Linked DNA regions of Canis lupus familiaris. The protein of the gene in region 2 interacts with the protein of the main gene of each other region in a pairwise test. Links are inferred from orthologs where the notes say so. Each region holds a gene or a part of one and is shown on either strand. Other genes may lie near its edges.

What was found.
Region 1: the proteins of AP2M1 (region 2) and TGOLN2 interact in a two-hybrid assay, tested with the Homo sapiens proteins (2 studies listed by BioGRID). The link is inferred for Canis lupus familiaris from reciprocal best matches to the Homo sapiens genes AP2M1 and TGOLN2.

Annotation. Positions count from the first base shown.
Region 1 is NC_049238.1:40,036,161-40,041,462, forward strand, and holds the start of TGOLN2 (trans-Golgi network integral membrane protein 2), read right to left. Parts: upstream 3,223-5,302; 5' UTR 3,082-3,222; coding exon 3,036-3,081; intron 2,816-3,035; coding exon 1,626-2,815; intron 75-1,625; coding exon 1-74. UniProt on the Homo sapiens protein: May be involved in regulating membrane traffic to and from trans-Golgi network.
Region 2 is NC_049255.1:17,240,864-17,246,201, forward strand, and holds the start of AP2M1 (AP-2 complex subunit mu), read left to right. Parts: upstream 1-1,971; 5' UTR 1,972-2,090; intron 2,091-4,133; 5' UTR 4,134-4,176; coding exon 4,177-4,250; intron 4,251-5,338.

The DNA.
Region 1 (5,302 bases), on a different chromosome or scaffold from region 2:
AAACGCTGGTAATCACTGGCTTTTGGCCGCCGAGTGACTTTAGATCTTTTTCCTTCTAGGACAAAAGCAATAATCTGGGGAAAGGAAAAAGAAATTAACAGATGATTCTACAATGGCTTATTTCAGTCTCTGAAATCAGAGGTCATCACCTGGTAGTACATTTTTTTTTTTTTTTTTTAGATTTTATTTATTTATTCATGAGAGGGAGGGGGTGGGTTGGGCGGAGAAGCAGGCAGAGGGAGAAGCAAGCTCCATGCAGGGAGCCCAACGTGTGACTCAATCCTGGTCTCCAGGATCACACCCTGGGCTGAAGACGGTGTTAAACTGCTGAGCCACCCGGGCTGCCCTGGTACTACATTTGTTAATGACCCCGGCAGTGAAAGAGCCGCAAACTCACAAGAGGCATCTTTAAATTATAACAGTTTTCAGGAGGACGGGGCCTCCAGTTACATCAGAATCTTTTATACTGCTAAACAGGAAATGACAGATGAAGGAAGACTATTCTGGCCGTTAGCCTGTGGGAGTCTGGATGATTTACTCAAGAGCACAAAGATCTGCCAGCTGTGCCCCACACAGCTCTAGGATCAGACATTCCTTTTCTCTCACAAGCAATAATTATTTCTTATCTGCAAATGTACTTTTCCTCCCCACACCTTGCTTCATTTTAACCTTACTGCTTTTACATCTAAGATTACTCTGTGGGACGAGCACTTGGATGTAGAATAAAGAACTATTTTTACTAAATATCTTCCCTCATTCCTCATAGCCATAGGCATACTGATATCATAAACTGAACTCTCCAATTTTAACCAGGCTATAGAAACTACTAAATTCTTAGAGCTAGCGGGATCCCTGGGTGGCTTAGCGGTTTAGTGCTGCCTTCACCCTGGGGCGTGATCCTGGAGTCCAGGGATGGAGCCTGCTTTTCCCTTTGCCTGTATCTCTGCCTCTCTGTGTGTGTCTCTCATGAATAAATAAAATCTTTAAAAAAATAAATTCTTAGAGCTCAATAAGAAATGCAATCATTTGTCATCAGAGTGGTTGCTAAGCAACACAGATATTACTCCACACCAAATCTGCTGTAACATTAAAAGACGATTGTATCCATGCAATTTTTGGTCATTCTTCTAATCGGAAACTCAACCGATTGTAGAAGATAGTCCCTGGGCTCTCTGCTGCTGATGTCAAAGACTATGTAACCACTCTTTCTGCCATTGCAGATGCAAGATAAAAGTGTGGGAAAGGAAACTAGAAATGATGCACTATCTTCAGAGTGGAAATAGGAAGATAAGTACTCTACTTACAAACTGTCAGGTACTCAGATTCTCGGAGGCAGTAAAATGATCTAAATTTAAGATTGTGGGAGAAGACCCCAATTCAGGTCAGATCATAAAAATGTCCTCATTTGGCACCTAACACAGCAGCAGAGGGCACTCAAAAGAATCGGACATGAAAGAAAATGATTTATAAAATGAGAGTAAAGAGACCTAGCAGAATCTGAGGAAAAACTGAAGTTTGACTTGAAATCTCCAGTGCTCACAGGCAGATGAATGACAGATATTGGCCCACACACCAAGCTTTCAAGGTGGAGGAAATCTCATTCCTCAAGACAGTTCTTGACTTACCTTCCGTTTATTGTGATAGGCAATATAGAGGACAGCAACAAGAATGGCTGCAGTCACCAGATAAGCAAAGAAGTGGCTGCTTTCTGCACTAGCACTTCCAAGACTGTCCTTATAAAGGTCATCATTCTGCCTACCCACAGAATCCAAAAGTGTCCCTTCACGGTTCTCACTGGAGGCAAGGCCAGGCATTTCTTTCTCTCCTTGGAGTGGTGAACCTTCTTCAGGCTCCGTATCCCCTTCCTCAGCCTTCTTGGGTTCCACATCTTCGGTAAGCTCTATAGACTTGCCTTCTCCCTCCTGCTGTGAAGTGGGGTCAGAGTCCAGTAATACTCTCTCCTCAGATTCATTTTTATAATCATTCAGAGTGGGATCTTTGTCGGCTGGTATGTTTAAGTGAGGCTTGGTGGGCTTCTTGTTATCAGAAGAGGGGTTAGAGACCAGCTTGTTGGAGTGGTCATTCAAGGACTGCATCTGGGACTTCACCTTGCTAGTGCCATCTCCTGTGGCCTGTGGCTTGGGCTTCTCATCGTCAGGGTCGTCTCCCATAGAGTGTGGCTTGGGCTTCTTGTCAGGGTTGTCTCCCATGGCCTGAGGCTTGGGGATCTTGTCAGAGTCATCTCTGGTGAGCTGTGGCTTGGGCTTGTCAGGGTCGTTTCCTGTGGCCTCAGGCTTGGGCTTCTTGTCAGGGTCCTCTCCTGTGGCTTCAGGTTTGGGCTTGTCAGGGTCGACTCCTGTGGCCTCAAGCTTGGGCTTCTTGTCAGGGTCCTCTCCTGTGGCTTCAGGCTTGGGCTTGTCAGGGTCGACTCCTGTGGCCTCAAGCTTGGGCTTCTTGTCAGGGTCCTCTCCTGTGGCTTCAGGCTTGGGCTTGTCAGGGTCGACTCCTGTGGCCTCAAGCTTGGGCTTCTTGTCAGGGTCCTCTCCTGTGGCTTCAGGCTTGGGCTTGTCAGGGTCGACTCCTGTGGCCTCAAGCTTGGGCTTCTTGTCAGGGTCCTCTCCTGTGGCTTCAGGCTTGGGCTTGTCAGGGTCGACTCCTGTGGCCTCAAGCTTGGGCTTCTTGTCAGGGTCCTCTCCTGTGGCTTCAGGCTTGGGCTTGTCAGGGTCGACTCCTGTGGCCTCAAGCTTGGGCTTCTTGCTAGGGCCGTTGTCTCCGGGCTGTGGCTGCAGCTCGCTAGGCTCTCCTGTTGGGGCCACTGAAATAGAGAAACCAGTTCGCTCTGAAGAGAGGAAATCCGGGAGAAGGGAGCCCTCAGAGCTAGAAGAGACCGAGGCAACAGGCAAACGGGGGAGGTGGGTGATGGCAAGCGGAGGGGTGGCTCCGGCAGGGAAGAAGCGGGTTCAGAGAGCGACCCGGCCGCGGTGAGGACGGTGGACCTAGGGATGATAGTAGGATTATTGGGGGTGGGGTCTTACCCGCCACTGCGAGGCTCAGCAGGGCCAACGCAATCAGGAACCGCATCCTGCACTTACTACTCTTCCGCTCTCTACTGCTCTCGCGACATCCGCGCGCGCACTCTGGGCGCTCATAGCCCCGCCCCTTCCTGCGCTCGTCCTTCCGCCGCACGCCCAGGCGAGGGGAGGGGCCTCGGCAAGGGCGGGAGAGGACGGTGGTTCTGCTCTCGCTGGGGCCGGCGCAGCGTCCCTCGGCGCAGGCAGCTTACACCTTCTTCCTTTCCCAGGTCCACCACGAGCGTCAGTCCCCTTTTCCTTCTTTGCCCTTGTATTTCCGAGACAATTTTGGCAGAGCCAGAGCTCCCTAGCCTGCGGATGGCCCCGTGGGGACTGCACTCGCTGGGACCCGGCGCCTGGGCTTCAGACTGCTCACCTTTCTAACCTCTCTTTTCTCATGGTTCTTTGCTCGTAGCACACAAACGTGTTGCGCTCAGGTCTCTCCCATCTGGAAACAGAAACTGATCCCGTCACCTTTGTAGCGGGAGCCTTCCCAGTCCAGTTCCTCTCTTTCCTGACCCCGCGGAAACTGCTCTCCGAGGTCTCCCCAAAGGTACATCTTTTTTCTGGTCATGAAAGTTCTTCACAGTCATTATAGAAGATTTAGTGAGCGTATTTATAGAAATAGAAGACAAAATCTTTGTCCCATTCTTCCGGGATAATCACTATTAAAGTTTTAGTGTGTTTTCTGCCTTGCAGACATTAAAAAAGAAAAAAGACTTTATTCGTTCACGAGAGACAGAGAGAGAGAGGGGGGCAGAGACATAGGTAGAGGGAGAAGCAGGCTCCTCACAGGTAGCGCGATGGGGACTCAATCCCTCAACCCAGGATCACGCCCTGAGCCCTGAGCTGAAGGCAGACGCTCAATTGCTGAGCCACCCAGGCGTCCCTGTCTTGCAAACATTTTAATATATTTGGTTTGGTACATTCTAATGGTTCAGTAAAAAAAAGCTATACATGAGAAAGTTCTTGCTCCCTACCATTCTACAGTTACCACTTAGTTTATTGTGTTTCTATGTAGTGTTTTATTTTCTAGTGTTTTTTTTTTTTTAACACTTACGTATGTACTTATTTTTTCCTCCGTCTTATATTGGTGTATTTTTTGTTCTTTTCTATACATATTCATTTTCCTCCAAATTTGTATCATTGGGTAAATAGTTTTGTATCATACTGTTTTTTTTTTTATTTTTTTAAAAGATTTTATTTATTTATTCATGAGAGACACAGAGAGCGAAAGAGAGAGAGAGAGAGAGGCTGAGACACAGGCAGAGGAAGAAGCAGGTCCATGCAGGGAGCCTGATATGGGACTTGATCCCGGGTCTCCAGGATCATGCCCTGGGCCAGAGGTGGTGCTAAACCGCTGAGCCACCAAGGGATCCCCATATCATACTGTTTAAAGTACTGTTATGTTTATACATTAATGGCTGCTTGAAATCGTTTTATAATCATTTGCCAGGTTAGGTGCTTAGTAGAGAGTAGTTTTAAAAATGATAGATCCTAACTTAAGAGTGTAGATATCTCCCAGGTGAAGTTGAAGAGAAGAGGATGAGTTCTCCCTTCAGCATGTGCGAAGGCCTGGAAGCAGGTGGGAGCCTAATATTTTGTGGAAGTCTAAAGATGAGAACAAGATTGCTAGATAACAGAGAATAAGGAAAATGGCAAAGGATGGGTCTGGAGCAAAGCCAGATTTAGGAGCAAATGATCTGGGAGTTGTCCAGAACATAAGTCTTTGTGTGACAGAAAACTACATCAGAAAATATTCCAGTTAACTCGGGTCAAAATGTAATCCCACCAAAAAGGACTACAGCCACCAAGGGAAATACTACTCCTCTGTAGTCTGTTGAGTACAATATTTAGGTTACATGTCATGCAGTTCCAGTCAGTTGAAATTCTTCAGAATTTCAAGGAACAGGTACATGGCATAGAATGTTTTCAGGACCAGGTACTTTGTTATTTACAAACCCTTCAATATACTTCCCAGTGTTCTTCTGTTGTAAGAAAATCTCACGCACACTCTCATTATTGAGGAGAGAATAAGAATCACATAGAAGTGGGGTCCCTGGGTGGTGCAGTGGGTTAAGCAACCAACTCTTGATTTCAGCTCAGGTTGTGATCTTAGGGTCCTAGGATCCAGCTCAGAGTCAGGCTCTATGCTCAGCAGGTAGTCTGCTCAAACTTCTTTCTCCCTCTGCCCCTTCCCTCTGCGTGCATGTGCGTGAGCTCTTTCTCTG
Region 2 (5,338 bases):
TATTTGGTGACCAAGGGCTGTGTTGGAGGCATGACTCAGTCTTGCTTACGTTCTAGGAGCTCTAGATTTGCTCCCAACCAAGGCCATGGCTTTCTCCCACCACTACAGGACTGGTTCCTATACTTTTCCTTTTCTGATTCTGCCTTGTTCAACTCCCTTGAGAATTCCTCCACTATTGCTCATGCCTTCTATGTTGGTGCTCCCAGTGTTCCATCTTTGGTTCACTTCTCTTTCCTCTAAGTTTACTACCCAAATGGTGTCATCTATCCTGATGTCCTCAATTGCCACTGATACACTGGTGATTCTAAAATGCCTATCTCCAGCCACAACTTCTCTCCAAATTTTAGATCTGTGTTATCCACTGGACGTCACCATGGACATATCTATATGGACTCAACTCATTTCCCCCATCAAGTGTGTTCCTCCTTAATTCCAACTCTGATGATCTTTAGCACAGTCTACATAGGCATACCAGCTAGGAACATTTATGGACTTAAATTCTTCCCCAACTCTTACTAGTCAGCATATCATATCCATTCCACTTCAACAGTCTTTCTTGAATATGGTCCTTCTTCTCCCCCCGCCTCTACCCTAATTCATAGGAGCACGGGATTTGGAGTCAGGTTGTTCTGGGCTTGAATCCCAGCTCTACTACTTTTTGGTTTCGTGATAAGAGAGTTACTTAATCTCTCTGAGCCTCAATTCCCTCATATGTAAAATGATGATAATAATACCTACCTCACAGGGTTGTTGTGAGGATTTAAATTAGACTTGTACGAAAAGTGCCTAGCACAGTGCCTGGCACAGAGTAGAATAGGTGCTCAATAAATGGTAGCTATTATTATTACTACTACTACTATTATTATTTATTCTAAATTGGTAGGGTATTATTGATTGAAGATAAAGCTTTTGGAAAGGTAGCAGTGAAGATCTGAGTGCCGGTTCAAGATTTAGAAATGCCTGTATTCAGTCACTTAATGGATTCACATGGTGACCACTGTTTGAGGAAGGCCAGATCTTCATCCTGCCACATTCTGGCTTCTAGCAGGAGGATGCTGGGACAGTAGGGTTTGTAACCAGGTTTGCCCTTTTTTGCCCTTCCTCCCATGATGGGCTCAGCACCAGTGAAGGCATAAGGGAAGCTCTCCGTACAGAAAGAGAAGAGCTAACATTTTCTTCGGGTCCTGTAAAAGTCAAGCAGGGCTTTCATATCTGAGGGTTTGCTCTGTCTTTTCTTCTCAGCTTGGGTGTGAAGATTAACTCTGTTCATTAGAGAAGGGATTTCAAGTTCCATGTCCAGCTAAACTTGCCAGCAGTTTTTTAAGCAACATATATGCCATCACTAGAAGGCACACAGGTCCTGGCCTCAAGGGGTCACATAGGTATGTGTAGTTGGGATAGAACAGACATTCTTGAAAAGCTTTGGCTAGTTTCTTACAAGTATTTGCCTCCTCCATCTTTGCCCTTTTACTTGGGTCTTGATCCCTGGGAAGAGGCTCACATCTGGAACAAATATTTGATGAAAAGTCTTGGGAAAATCAGAGCTGGTGTTAGAAAGCAGTAAATTTAGTGCAAACACTTCTGCCAAGTCGTGTGTGTGTGTGTGTAAAGTGAGCACAGCCAGTGTTCGGACTCCAGAGACGGAAAAGGCCTACAGCAATCTCAAGCTTAACAGATGGGCTTCAACAAATGGCATTAATCCTCCGAAGCTCTCCTAGACGCTGAACAGGATGGATTGCAGACTACAATTCCCAGAATGCTCGGTAGGGAAAATGAAGCGAGTGGAGCGGAGTATGATGGGATGTGGCCACGCCTATCCCTCCCCAAGGCACGCCTAACCCGCTGAAGGCAGTCGGTAGTTGTAGTCTTCCTAAACCTAGAAAGGCTAAAATTGTAAGCTAGAAGGCCGAAGGGCCTGACGGGATTTGTAGTCGGCTCGGTCGCCGGACGCGCACGCGCAACTGTGTTCGGGGCGGGGCCACGGCACTGCGGTGAAAGCCGAGGCAGCGGGCTGGCGAGCAGGGGGCGGGCGGACATCTTGGGATCTGGAGAGTGGCCGGGCGGGCCGAGCAGGCGGCCGCGGACGCCAGGTAAGCTCGGAATCCGGCGGAGAGTAAGGGAGAACGCGTACCCCGCTACCCAGCTTTGCCCTTCCCTGCACTGCGCTGCGCGAAAAGCTGCCCACAGCCGGGAGGGGCCTCAGCCTTCTGATCTGGAGCTGACGGCGGGGCGGGGGCGCCCGGGGCGCGGTTGCAGGGTGGGCAGGGAGCGGCGCCCTCCACCGGCAGTCCGGCGCCTTCCGTGACAGGGAGACCTCCTGGGGTCCCCCCGGAGCCAGGATGCCGCGCGGCGCCCCCTTCCTCGGGATCGTGACAGCCCCCCTGGTGCCTTGGCGCCGCCTCCTCCCAGCGCAAGGACAATTCCCCCATCTCCTCGACGGTGACACCCCCTCGGGCCGTCTCCCTGGGCTGTGACAGGCCTCCCACCAGCCGCACCCCCTCCCCCCAGTTGAGTGACACCCCTCGGCTCTTCTTCCTCAGACCTGTGACAGCCCCCGCAGCCCCGTGGAGCCATGTTCATCCCCGCGATGTCTTGCTCCCCTAGACGAAGAGCCCACCCCCCGTCATGCCTCCACACTTGAACCCTAAAGCAAGTTAACGCCGCCCCAGCTTTCCCCTATTCGCCACTTGTCAGTCTCCTCCCTGCTGTTTCAAAGTCTTGACCTTTGCCACACTGGAAACTCCTTCCTCCAGATGTCCCCGTCCCCCCCCCCGCCCCCCAGCCCCCAGCCCCAGCCCTCTTGCTGCTGCAGGTTCACCTGACTAGACCGCCTGGCTCCTTCTGCCCGTCCTTCCCCTTAGCTCAGTATTCCCCTCCTGCCCTGGGCCCCACCTCCGCTCCTTCGGTGCCCTGCGGCCCCTACCACTTGATATCTGTGAACTTGCTTCTTTGCCCGGGGCTCTACCTCCCATTTTTCATTTCCTTTCCCAGCCTTTTTTGGGACTCTGGGGTGGAATGTGTCCACCACCACCTTGAGAGACCTCTCACTGAGTTGGGGAGACCCTGATGGCCTCAGTAATAGGGCTTTATTTTCCAGTTTAGAAAAGTCTGCTAAACTCCCTCTGCCCTGTAAAATCAATACCAGAGCTAATTCAGGAAATCTAGAATTAAATTAACCCTTTTTCTCCTTGCAAATATTTTGACCCAAATAATTTGGATAATGCACACCTATTCTCTGCCCCTTCCTTATAGGTACTCAGGCCAGAAATGAGTTATGTCATGGTTCTGGAATCATAGAATGTCAGCTGGATTGATCTTTGTGTTTTATAAACCTGTACTCCCACCCCCTTATTTTTACTGCACTTGGGAACTGAGAGGGATCCTCCCTTTTTGAAAGGGAGGTGGTTAAAAATAACTAATAAGCAGCTTGGGTCATTGAAGTGTAGTCGGCCAAGGCTGGGCCCTTTCTCCTCTGCTCTTTTGCCTGCTTATCTGACTGCCTGGGATTGGTTGGAGCCACACTCCAGGGTCTGTGTCAGGGCCTAAGGCCTCCCTTGTCTCCTCCCCACACCCTGCACACCCTTTCCTGGAATGTTTAGACTTCTGTGAATTAGAGAGCCACAGGTTCAGGCCCTGCTGTCTTCTCCGAAGGGTTAGTGGAGCCTGAGAGACCGGGTGCTCCTAAAGCCGTGCCTGGGGGCCCCAGGCCTGAACCAAGTGGAATAATTCCTACCGCCATTCCTGCAGCCGCAGGCAGGCCTTCCCAGTGACTCACCGGCTAGAGTCTGAGTGAGAGTCTGCACAGGAAGGGGCCAAAAAGGATCTGTGCTGAGCTCAGCACTGAAAAGAGGGGGAGGGGGCTACACTCTGGGCTCAGCCCCAGGAAAGGGAGGGTCAAAATGGCCTTAGAATCCTGGGCCCAAGTCCCTCTCCATTTCTTTCTCCTTTCCAGTGTGAGATAAACAGGAACTGGAGCCTGGCTAAGGGGAGGGGCATGCCTGGGGAGGGCTTCAGGGTCACTTACTGGAGGGTTGAGTCAGGAAAAAAAGCCCAGCCAGTGACCTGCACAGCCCCACAGGGGATGTTGGCAGAGGTTCTGAGGCCTTCCCTTACCCTGCCTCCGCCTGTCCTAGGTCTGTTCTCAGAGCGATGGGCCTTGGAGACTGAGCTGCCGCCATGATTGGAGGCTTATTCATCTATAATCACAAGGGGGAGGTGCTCATCTCCCGGGTCTACCGAGATGACATCGGGTGAGTCCCCTGGCTGAGCCAGCTGTGTCCCCACCCCTCATCCCTCCTCCCCAGCATGCAGGACCAGGTCCGTTCCTACCAGAGACTGGACTTTGGCCACCCCCATCCCTCGCTGCATCTTAGAAGCTCAGCTAATACAATCTGGTTCCCATTAGGTCTGGTGGTATTGGCCTGGCAGCCAGTTATTGGCCAATAGGTGGGACCTGTGGAATGGTGTGGCCCCCCACAGTCTTAGGAACTCTTGTCCTTCCTGCCTTCTCCTTTCCTTAGTGACAGACCTAGTTGCTAGAAATGAGTGCTTTTGCCCTGGTAGATGAATTCCTCCCTTGAGGAGGAGGGAGATCTTTCTCCAGGGGGTGAAGTTAGTGGACAGGCTAGTGGTACTAGTCCATCTAAGTCTTGCTCTCAAAAGCCCTTCTCACGGTGAGAGCCTTCACTGAATTCTCTTGAAAGCTTCTCCAGGCTGCCAAATCCTCTCCTACTCCCTTTCTCAGGAGGAGGCAGGCTGCTGACTCAGCTGTTTTCAGTTCCTCTGGGCCACTCCTAGAAGAGAGGTTGTGAGCAAGCTTGGGGCACTCTCCGGGTCACTGAAGGAAGGGCAGGGAGGCCATGCTGCCCTTCCTGGCCTACCAGAGTAGACCCGGAATAGCTCCTTGTTCTAGGTCCCTCAGACCTTAGCAAAGAGACACAGCCTGCCTTCTCACTCTGCCCCACACTGCATGCCACTATTCTTTCCTGAATGAGAGGACATGTCCTAGCCTCAGCAGCTCTAATGAGATTAGGCATCTCTGGTTCATGCTGCCCTGTTTTTCTTCCTCCAAGAGCTTAGGTTAAAGAGTTATAGGATGGGCCTGCTGCAGAGCCCAATAGCTTCTTGGCTCCCAGCTCCCTGGCTAGTGGGCTGGCCTGGCCTTTGTGGCTGTTTGTCCATTGGCTGGTGGTAGGGCATGAACTAGAGTTGTGGCAGTGCCTGGCTTGCCTGAACCTGGCTGGCTATACCCATCCACACCCCCTCCTGCCTGCCCTGGATGGACCTGCTTAAGCCAGGGCACCTACTGTCTTGCATGACTTGCTATGCTTTCCACCCC